Nothobranchius furzeri: one gene and its partner. The protein of the gene in region 1 interacts with the protein of each later gene in a pairwise test. Links are inferred from orthologs where the notes say so. Each region holds a gene or a part of one and is shown on either strand. Other genes may lie near its edges.

What was found.
Region 2: the proteins of arl16 (region 1) and pde6d interact in binary tests that used the Homo sapiens proteins (3 or more experiments, as listed by UniProt). The two-hybrid records come from large-scale screens. The link is inferred for Nothobranchius furzeri from reciprocal best matches to the Homo sapiens genes ARL16 and PDE6D.

Annotation. Positions count from the first base shown.
Region 1 is NC_091745.1:1,693,295-1,697,202, forward strand, and holds arl16 (ADP-ribosylation factor-like protein 16), read left to right. Parts: upstream 1-1,429; 5' UTR 1,430-1,508; coding exon 1,509-1,620; intron 1,621-1,774; coding exon 1,775-1,830; intron 1,831-1,913; coding exon 1,914-2,030; intron 2,031-2,121; coding exon 2,122-2,237; intron 2,238-2,373; coding exon 2,374-2,539; 3' UTR 2,540-3,117; downstream 3,118-3,908. Other genes in the region: fn3krp (ketosamine-3-kinase), read right to left, coding at 1-51, 145-267, 360-442, 555-646, 731-882, 1,096-1,236. UniProt on the Homo sapiens protein: May suppress the RNA sensing activity of RIGI in a GTP-dependent.
Region 2 is NC_091756.1:55,091,877-55,096,192, forward strand, and holds the start of pde6d (retinal rod rhodopsin-sensitive cGMP 3',5'-cyclic phosphodiesterase subunit delta), read left to right. Parts: upstream 1-1,456; 5' UTR 1,457-1,662; coding exon 1,663-1,712; intron 1,713-3,224; coding exon 3,225-3,313; intron 3,314-4,065; coding exon 4,066-4,191; intron 4,192-4,316. UniProt on the Homo sapiens protein: Promotes the release of prenylated target proteins from cellular membranes. Modulates the activity of prenylated or palmitoylated Ras family members by regulating their subcellular location.

The DNA of each region.
Region 1 (3,908 bases):
AAGGAGAGCAGGAAAGATCTCCACATCTGTGAAAAACTGTGGGACCTTTAGCTGCAAAAAACAGACACAACTGGACTGTCAGATTACTGTGGCACTCATCAGGGGTTGTGTAAAATATCTGATGTTGTCAAGCGGAGGATGCACCTGTAGCTGAGCCCATAGGTCTCTGGCCTCCCGATCTCCATATGATTTCTCCACCAAGTTGAGTTGGTGCTGTAGACGGTGCTGGCAGTAAAATGACACCCAGTCATCCTGCCATTCATTCTCCTTGGAAAAGTGGAGAGGGATCAAAATTTAGATTTATTCTTGAAGATATGTATAAAAGACATGTGCACTGCAGTATTTGTTTAGTGTTTAACCTGCGGTAAATATCCACAGCATGTAGCTACATCAAAGCCAAATTTCTCTACAGCAGCCGCCTCTGACTGTCCAGCTCCTTTACCTGAAAACAACACAGGTTAAATCAGAGGGAACCCCGCTTCAAGACTCAAAGTGTGACTTGTTGCATTTCTACACACATTTCCAAGCAATTATACAAATGTAAAATGAATTACCCACAGTCTGCTGCTCCTTCTGTTGATTTCCCATGAGCCTTTTGTTGTGTAGATGCAGATCTGCAAGTTGCTCTCCAAGCTGCTTTGAGAACCTGCTCAATGAAATAAGAATTTATATATTTTCACATGAATGATACGTCAGAAACAAGCTATAGTGTACATGAAGACTCACTCACTTGTTAAGACCGTTCATGTCCAGATGCTCCATCACAAATACACATCCTCCCTTATCCAGCTCAACCACCTTTATGGGCTTTGGTACTTTAACGGTTTTGGTTTTAAAGATTGCTTCCAAGCTTGCCATCTCTCCATCAAACATCCGTTTGGCCTGAATAACACAAACGTATTTTATATTAATTATTGTATAACTATTATTGTTTATTAATGTAGAATCAGGTTGATTAAATGTTTCCATGCCTGAAAATAACAGCTGTTTATTAAAACAACAAATCATTTAATAGCTGACATAATACGTATATCTAAAAAAAAGTGCAAATGAGTATTCCGAGATGTTATTGCAATTTCTGAACTTAAAAATGACCTCGCTCTTGCGGTTAATCTTTACAAACACTCTTCCTGTGTCGGTCTCATAACTCTGACCCTCGCTGATACATCCTCCTCCTGCGTGACCAGTGGATTTCAGCACGCTCGTGCCTAACTCTTTCTTTAACTTCGCTTCCATGATTATCTCTCGGCTCCTCTTCTCTTGCAACTCTAGTCTCAACAACGTGTGGCCGATTTCGACGTTCCGATGGCGTCGCGACTCTGATGTCGTTTCAGTCAACGAGGATTTTAGTCTTGTTTTGCTTCCACTTTATTCACGTGATCTTAAACAACCAATCAGATGCAGACCAAGGAGGAATGAAATCAAATTGGACCTATCAGTGTCAAGACGAAGGGTCACGTGAGCGTCTCCATGGCGTCAAGTGCGGCAGCCTCTAACATGATTTAAACATGTTGAAATGCTTTGCTTGCGCAGAAAAAGGCGAAATGAACAACAATGAAATGTGTTTACTCCTCGGAGCGACTGGCTCAGGAAAGTCTTTATTACTTAAACGCCTACAAGATATCCTTTGTGCTCGTCTAAGTGTTTTAAACTAGTTATCTGTGAAGGCTAATGCAGCTAGCTAAATGCTATGCTATTTACTACTTTAAACCAAATGTTTCTTTGCATTGAAATGAAGCTACAGTAACTGAACATTTCCTTACAGATTTCTCACTACTTAGTTTGCATGGTTCATGTGAAGTGGGCTCTCCTCCTCCCACTCTCCCCACAGTAAGCGCTGAGGAAATCCAGTTCTAATAGCACGCGAACACGCTTGTTTATGATGTGACTCCTCATCTATTTGATCACCTCAGGTAGGAACAAATCTGACAGACCTCACCCTAAAGAAGAAGAAGGTGACAGTAAGGGAGCTGGGAGGCTGCATGGGCCCTATATGGCCCAGCTACTTCACAGACTGCTTCTCTCTCATTGTAAGACACTTGAATATATACAGCATTTTTTTAAATACTCAATAAGGAAACAAATCATTTTGATCAAATATTTTTTATGGTTTTCTCATAGTTCGTCGTGGATTCATCTAACATAGCTCAGATATCCTCCTCGTGCATCCTGTTGCTGTCTGTGCTCTCAGCTGAGCCTCTCTGCCGTGCATCTGTGCTTATTCTCTTCAACAAGAGGTAGGAATTTCATAAACATCAGTTCCTACAAATGCAAATAGTCAAAAACACAAGACATTTATGCAAAATCACAACTGTGTGTTAGGAGAAACCCTTTTTTCATGCCATTTTTGTCTTGGTTTTCTTTCTTCCCCAGAGACATTCCTTGCATCATGAGCCTTGTAGAGATAAAGTCACTGTTCCGGATAGATGACATCATTGCAAGTGCTCCTCAGTCCATCACAACAAAGGAAGTTAGTGCCAGCTCTGGGCAAGGACTGCAAGAAGTATTGAGCTGGCTGGAGTCCGTCACAATCAAGTGATCATGATCAGGAAAGGCAAAAGTCTAAAAAGCCCTTTGGATAAAGACATCAATATTCTCATTTCCAAAACACTGTTATTGGAGGATCTGAATGCTATCTTTAGGACTGGAGGCTGTAAAAGTGGCTAAAGATATAAGAAAAGAAAAACTGCACTGGGTCTTTGGTACCATTCAGTACTGATTAGAGTGAGAACGTGATCTGATGCGAGATGAGACAACTGCATAAGTGACCATTGTGACTGGAGTTGGGATATCATCAGTATACATTTCTGCTCCAACCATTGGTCATTTAGAGATCCCTTCTCTGTTCACATTCTTGTCTGGTAAACAGAGAACTGAGAGAATCATGAGTGGTGTGACAGCCAACAGCTTTAGGCAGACAGAGCAATATGGAGTTTTGGTTCAAGTTACTTTTCTACACACCAGAGGGTACAGGCCAGGGACATCATCAAAGAACAAGGCACAAAAGGCAAATGGATCAGAATTAGGATCAGAATCACTCTAATCATTTTTATGATAGGAAACCAAACTGGAGCTCTCAGAGTTTGTGAATATCAAAATAAATCACAACTTGAAAAAGATCGTGCCACCTTCAGTAAAATGGGGTTCACATTTAAATGCTTGCTTTGCTGCTTGTAGCACTTACCCCAATACTTAAAAGTTTCTTTAGCAGAATATCAGCCCCATCCAAGGAGTATGGACTGTTTTCAGCAGGCTAGAGAAGATGCCCGATACTTCCTACAGACATTTTAAGACCTGAAGTCCGTCATTCCTGGAAAGACTTGTGCAAATCTTAAGAAGTTTGGATGGACAATGAAAGGGACATGCTGCCATCAGGTGGAATAAGGTGCTTAAGAGGGCTACAATCACACAGTAAATACTAGCAAATGGAATAGGGAGCGGATTTTTACTCCCCATCATCAGCCAGTTTTTTTCATCTGTATATTGTTTTTATTTTATTTCTATCACAAATTCCAATATCAGAAAATAGTTTCATTTGATTTCATTTCTGAACATCATTTTATTATTTTCCATATAATTCAGAAACGACCATAGTGATCGTAAGAATGTTCTGATGCTTGTGGGAGATGAGGGAATGAAAAGTACTCATCTGGAAAACACACAGAATTGTAGAAATTACTGCTACATTTGATGGGAGTTTGTAAATCACAAGCAATTAATAAAACTTCAATTTTCCATTTTAAATATCGTCGTACTTAGAAACTGAATCACAACACTTTAATCCGTTCCTTCTGCACTTCGTCTCACTTCAGTGAATGAATATGTAGATTGTTAAACCGGTCAGTTCTGGTCCACGCAGGTTAAATCCGTTAGAACAGAAACATTTCAGGCACTAAATGCATTGTCTT
Region 2 (4,316 bases), on another chromosome or scaffold:
TCAGGTTAAAAAAAGCTAACAAATCTGAAGCTAACGGATGCAATCCAGATAAGCAACCTGCAAAATGTTTTTTCAACACTTCAAAAATACATCCTTAAAGTTCATTTCTGACCCTGAATGGCTTGGCCTGTTTAATCTTTTAATTGCATTTAAAATATGATTTTATTATCTAAAAACTTATGTTCATATAAAGTCATTCAGCAGCAGCAACCTGTTAGCAATCAAAACCAGTTACAGTGCTAGTTAAAAGAGCTTAAAATAACAAAATAAAATGTTAGTTGAATGTGGTTAAAGCCCAGAGCATAAAGGTAATTAAAGATCCTGTTCCAACTGACTGGAACCCATCCTATTGAAGCATGCTGCATGGAAGGCTTGTGTTGGTTTGTACTTTTGACAAGTTTACCCTGCCAATATGGCGGAATCGCTTACGTTTTTAAACAAGTTTTATTTAACCAATAAAGCTTACAGGCTTACATAAGAATCAATATTTACAGTTGAATTCTGAGCATGACAAAATAAAGCAGGTGTACAAACAGAAACAATAATATTAACCTAGCTCAATATCAACCTGCAGAAATCATAACTATATATATATATATATAAATATATATGTGTGTGTGTGTGTGTGTGTGTATATATATTACATCAACATTTTTAGGGGTAAAGGAAACATTTACCAAATTGTTATAGAGCCAAATGGCTTTCTTGGAACTACATAATTTAAGAGAATCCATAAAGGATGCAAGTTCTTTAAAAAAAAAAACAATAAAGATCGGTTTGATGTTGCCAAATTTACATTTGTGTATAAAGAATTTGGCGAAAATAATCAAATTATTGACAGTGAATTGCTGCATTTTATTTTCCAAACTAATACCATTCTTGATGTCAGAAAAAGATAAGGAGCGTATAATGAAATTATTATGCGTTAACCACGAGTGAAAACTATCCCAGAAAATTTTGGTAAAGATGCATGTGAAAAATAAATGTATCTCAGTGTCTATATTAGAAGTGCTAAAGGCACAATTGTTCTCTCCAATATTAAATTTAGACTGCAAGAAATCTTTGCAAGGATAAATACTGTTTATAGTTTTAAAATGAACTTCCTTGGCTTTAGGAGGGATTGGGAATTTGGGATAGTTGCATCTAATGTTTTTAACATCAGAATTACTAAATTGACGCACTAATTCCCGTCTTCTAAGAGGTAAGGGAAAGAGGGCGTCAGTGAGCCAACATCTAAGGATTTTATTATTGCAGTTCCTGTCCACAAAAGAACAGTTCTTAATTGTTAAAGGATGCATTTTTGGAATAAGGTGAGAGTACGGAATCGCTTACGGAGGAAACTGGTGTTTGGTTTTAACGGCGAAACGCTCTATCCGTTTCCGTCCCGCCTACTTTTCTTTCACGCGCTGTGATTGGTTCGTAGTAGTTCTCGTTCCCACTGAGTGGCTGTGAGAGCTGTCTGTCCGTGGGCGGGTATGTTTAGCTGATTGCATTATTGGAATCGGATTTATCCTGTAGTCTAACTGTTCTGGATTAATTTCGTATTGCCTGCTCTATTCCTGGCGAATTTCGACTGTCCGGTTGGCCTGCTACGATAAAGTTAACGGCGTCATTTCCCCCCCACATTCTGGATAATCGGTAATAAACGGAAACTGTCCCGAGATGTCTCGGAGTGAGGAAAGGGCCAAGGAGATTTTGAAGGGCTTTAAACTGTATCCTTCCACTGGGTGATGGTAATGTTTTTCACGGTTAAGCTTGATGTGTTGTTATAACTACTGCTGCAGTTAGAAGTCGGCTCCTAAGATTCTAAAACAGCTAGCTGTTCATGCTAACTAACCGTTAAATGGCAAAATTTCCGACGTGCTAACAACCTGTAAGTTGCTGCCTGTTGGTGTGACTGATTAAATTCGGTTTTATGGGGCTGTTACCGATCAAACATGTTGTCTGAGCGTGTCGTGGAAGCTGCTAGTTCCGTTAGCTCCATATGTAAGCAGCTTTGCGTGAGGACTTCAGGTGGATTGGTGCTGCAGCTGGCCCCCTGTGTGTGCTGCTACCCAACCTGAACAGGACCTTTGCTAGCAACCGTTTCTTTTGGCTGTACCTTTTAAAAGTCCTTGAATCAAACTAGAAACTTTTAAGTGGTTCTGCCGCAGAGTGGAACATTCAACTCCACCTTTAATTGGAGCCAAAGTTTTGGCCACGAGCACCGTCTTGATTTTGAGGGAGGAAAATATTTCATAAAGTCAGCACTCTGTTCACTGTAGCACCAAACGTGAGTTCATCATGACAGCTGTGTGGTGTGGTGATGACTTTTATAATGTTTTACGTGATGACAACAAATATTGTAAGAGGTGATTTCTGTGGCATGTTCAACTTTACCGGTGAACCCCATCAGCACCTCTGCCATCTGGTCGGATTCTAGAGAAAATCGTCAATCTCATCAAAAGAAAATAAAAAAATGCATTAATTTTAATATATTTTGTTTGCACGAAGCAGGAGGAATAGTTTACTTGAGGAAGCTGGGATGTCCGTAAGTGATGCCATGAGCTGCAGCTGTTACTTTTTTCAATCTGTGATTTTACTCAAATGCTTATAGATATCCAGACACTGCCCATGTTCTGAGTCGTCTGAGTTTAGAGGGAGTTTCTAGGTTGGATGGTGTTTCAATCAATCATTTTATTTATAAAGCCTCTTCCCACCCCCAATGAAGGGGGTCCAAGGTGCTGAACATAGTGCAAAGAAGCAGCACAATAAAACAGCTCTATAATAAAATACAGAGATGAAAACATAAAAAAACAATTAAAAAAAAGAGGTTAAAACAATTTAAATAGTGATCGAAAACATTAAAATGTAAATAAAAACAACGAAGAAACAGATCTCAAATGCAGCTTATGCCTTGCTTTAAAGGTGGGCAGCGATGTGGACTGTTTGATTTCTTGTGGTTCCAAAGCCGAGGACCCCAGAACTGCAAAGGCACGAACAACTGTAAGATGCCAGGAAGCTCATAATTTCAGCGAGATTTAAATATTTCCCATTTGTTCCCAGAGAATTTTGCAGACTGTTGCTGTTTGTTGTTGGACCTTTTCTGAGAAACTGGATTAAATGTTTTTTTTCTGGTTCAATGTTGAATTTTGCCCAGGAACAATCAGGGTGGGTGCAGAAAGGGTCTGGTTCCATTTCTCTTTGCCGTGTTTGCCTGTTTTTACTTAACATCGTGCTGGCAGAAATTGGATGAACCTTCGGGATGCAGAGACGGGTAAGGTGCTGTGGCAGGGAACAGAGGACCTGTCTGTACCTGGAGTCGAACATGAAGGTAAATCGCAGCATACATTATACAGTAGATGGGTAAATGACACGCTCATTACTTTTATTTGAGACTCCATATGGGAGTAAAAACAAATTGGCACAAAGTGTGACAAAACAAAATTCACATAACCGCTTCACATTCCTCAGATCTCTCAGCTCGCTTATCTTTGATTTTAAAGGAGAAACATGTTAAACAAAGGGTAAAGAGGTGATTAAGAAAATAATCTGGCAAATACTTTGAGTTTCTGACTACCTCTACATTTCTACGCCCAAAAAGCAAATTCAACTAATCTCCCACACAACCAGTGCCTTATTTAACACCCATTTAACCAATCAACGTTCAAAAGAATTACCAAAAAGGGACACTATCTCTAATGATAAAAGTTAGGATTTGTTTTTGCCCTCCTTTTTTTTCTGCAGCTGAATTTTTTTCCCTCTATTTCCAAGTTTAACAAATCAATAATTATATTATTAGACTCTATTCACAGCTGTTCTAGATCATTTCAACCCTCAGGAGGCAGGCGTTGCAGATTTGCAACGTTAAAACCTACCTACCTGGTTACTCCACATACGTATTTCATGAGCAGTTTTTCCTTTTATCAAAACTTATTTTAAGCTCGAGAGGGTTAATAAAAAGTAAATATTCAGTAGTGATGGGTTTCACCCTGTCCTGTGGGCTCCAAAACAAATCTGATGGTTGATAATATCCAGTAGTTTGGACGTGTTGACCTAACCGTGATGTCTCCTCTCCTGTCTCAGCTCGTGTCCCAAAGAAGATCCTGAAATGCAAAGCGGTGTCCAGAGAGCTGAACTTCTCTTCTGCTGAGCAGCTGCAGAAGTTTCGGTTGGAACAGAAAGTTTTCTTCAAAGGCCAGTGTCTAGAAGGTAATGTGTGAAACACACTCTTTCAATACAATCTTTATTTTAAAAAAGCCTGACATCTAGTCCTAAAAGTAGATGGGGGGGGGGGGGGGGTCTGCCCAGTGGATGGACACTGGAAACATGTTCCA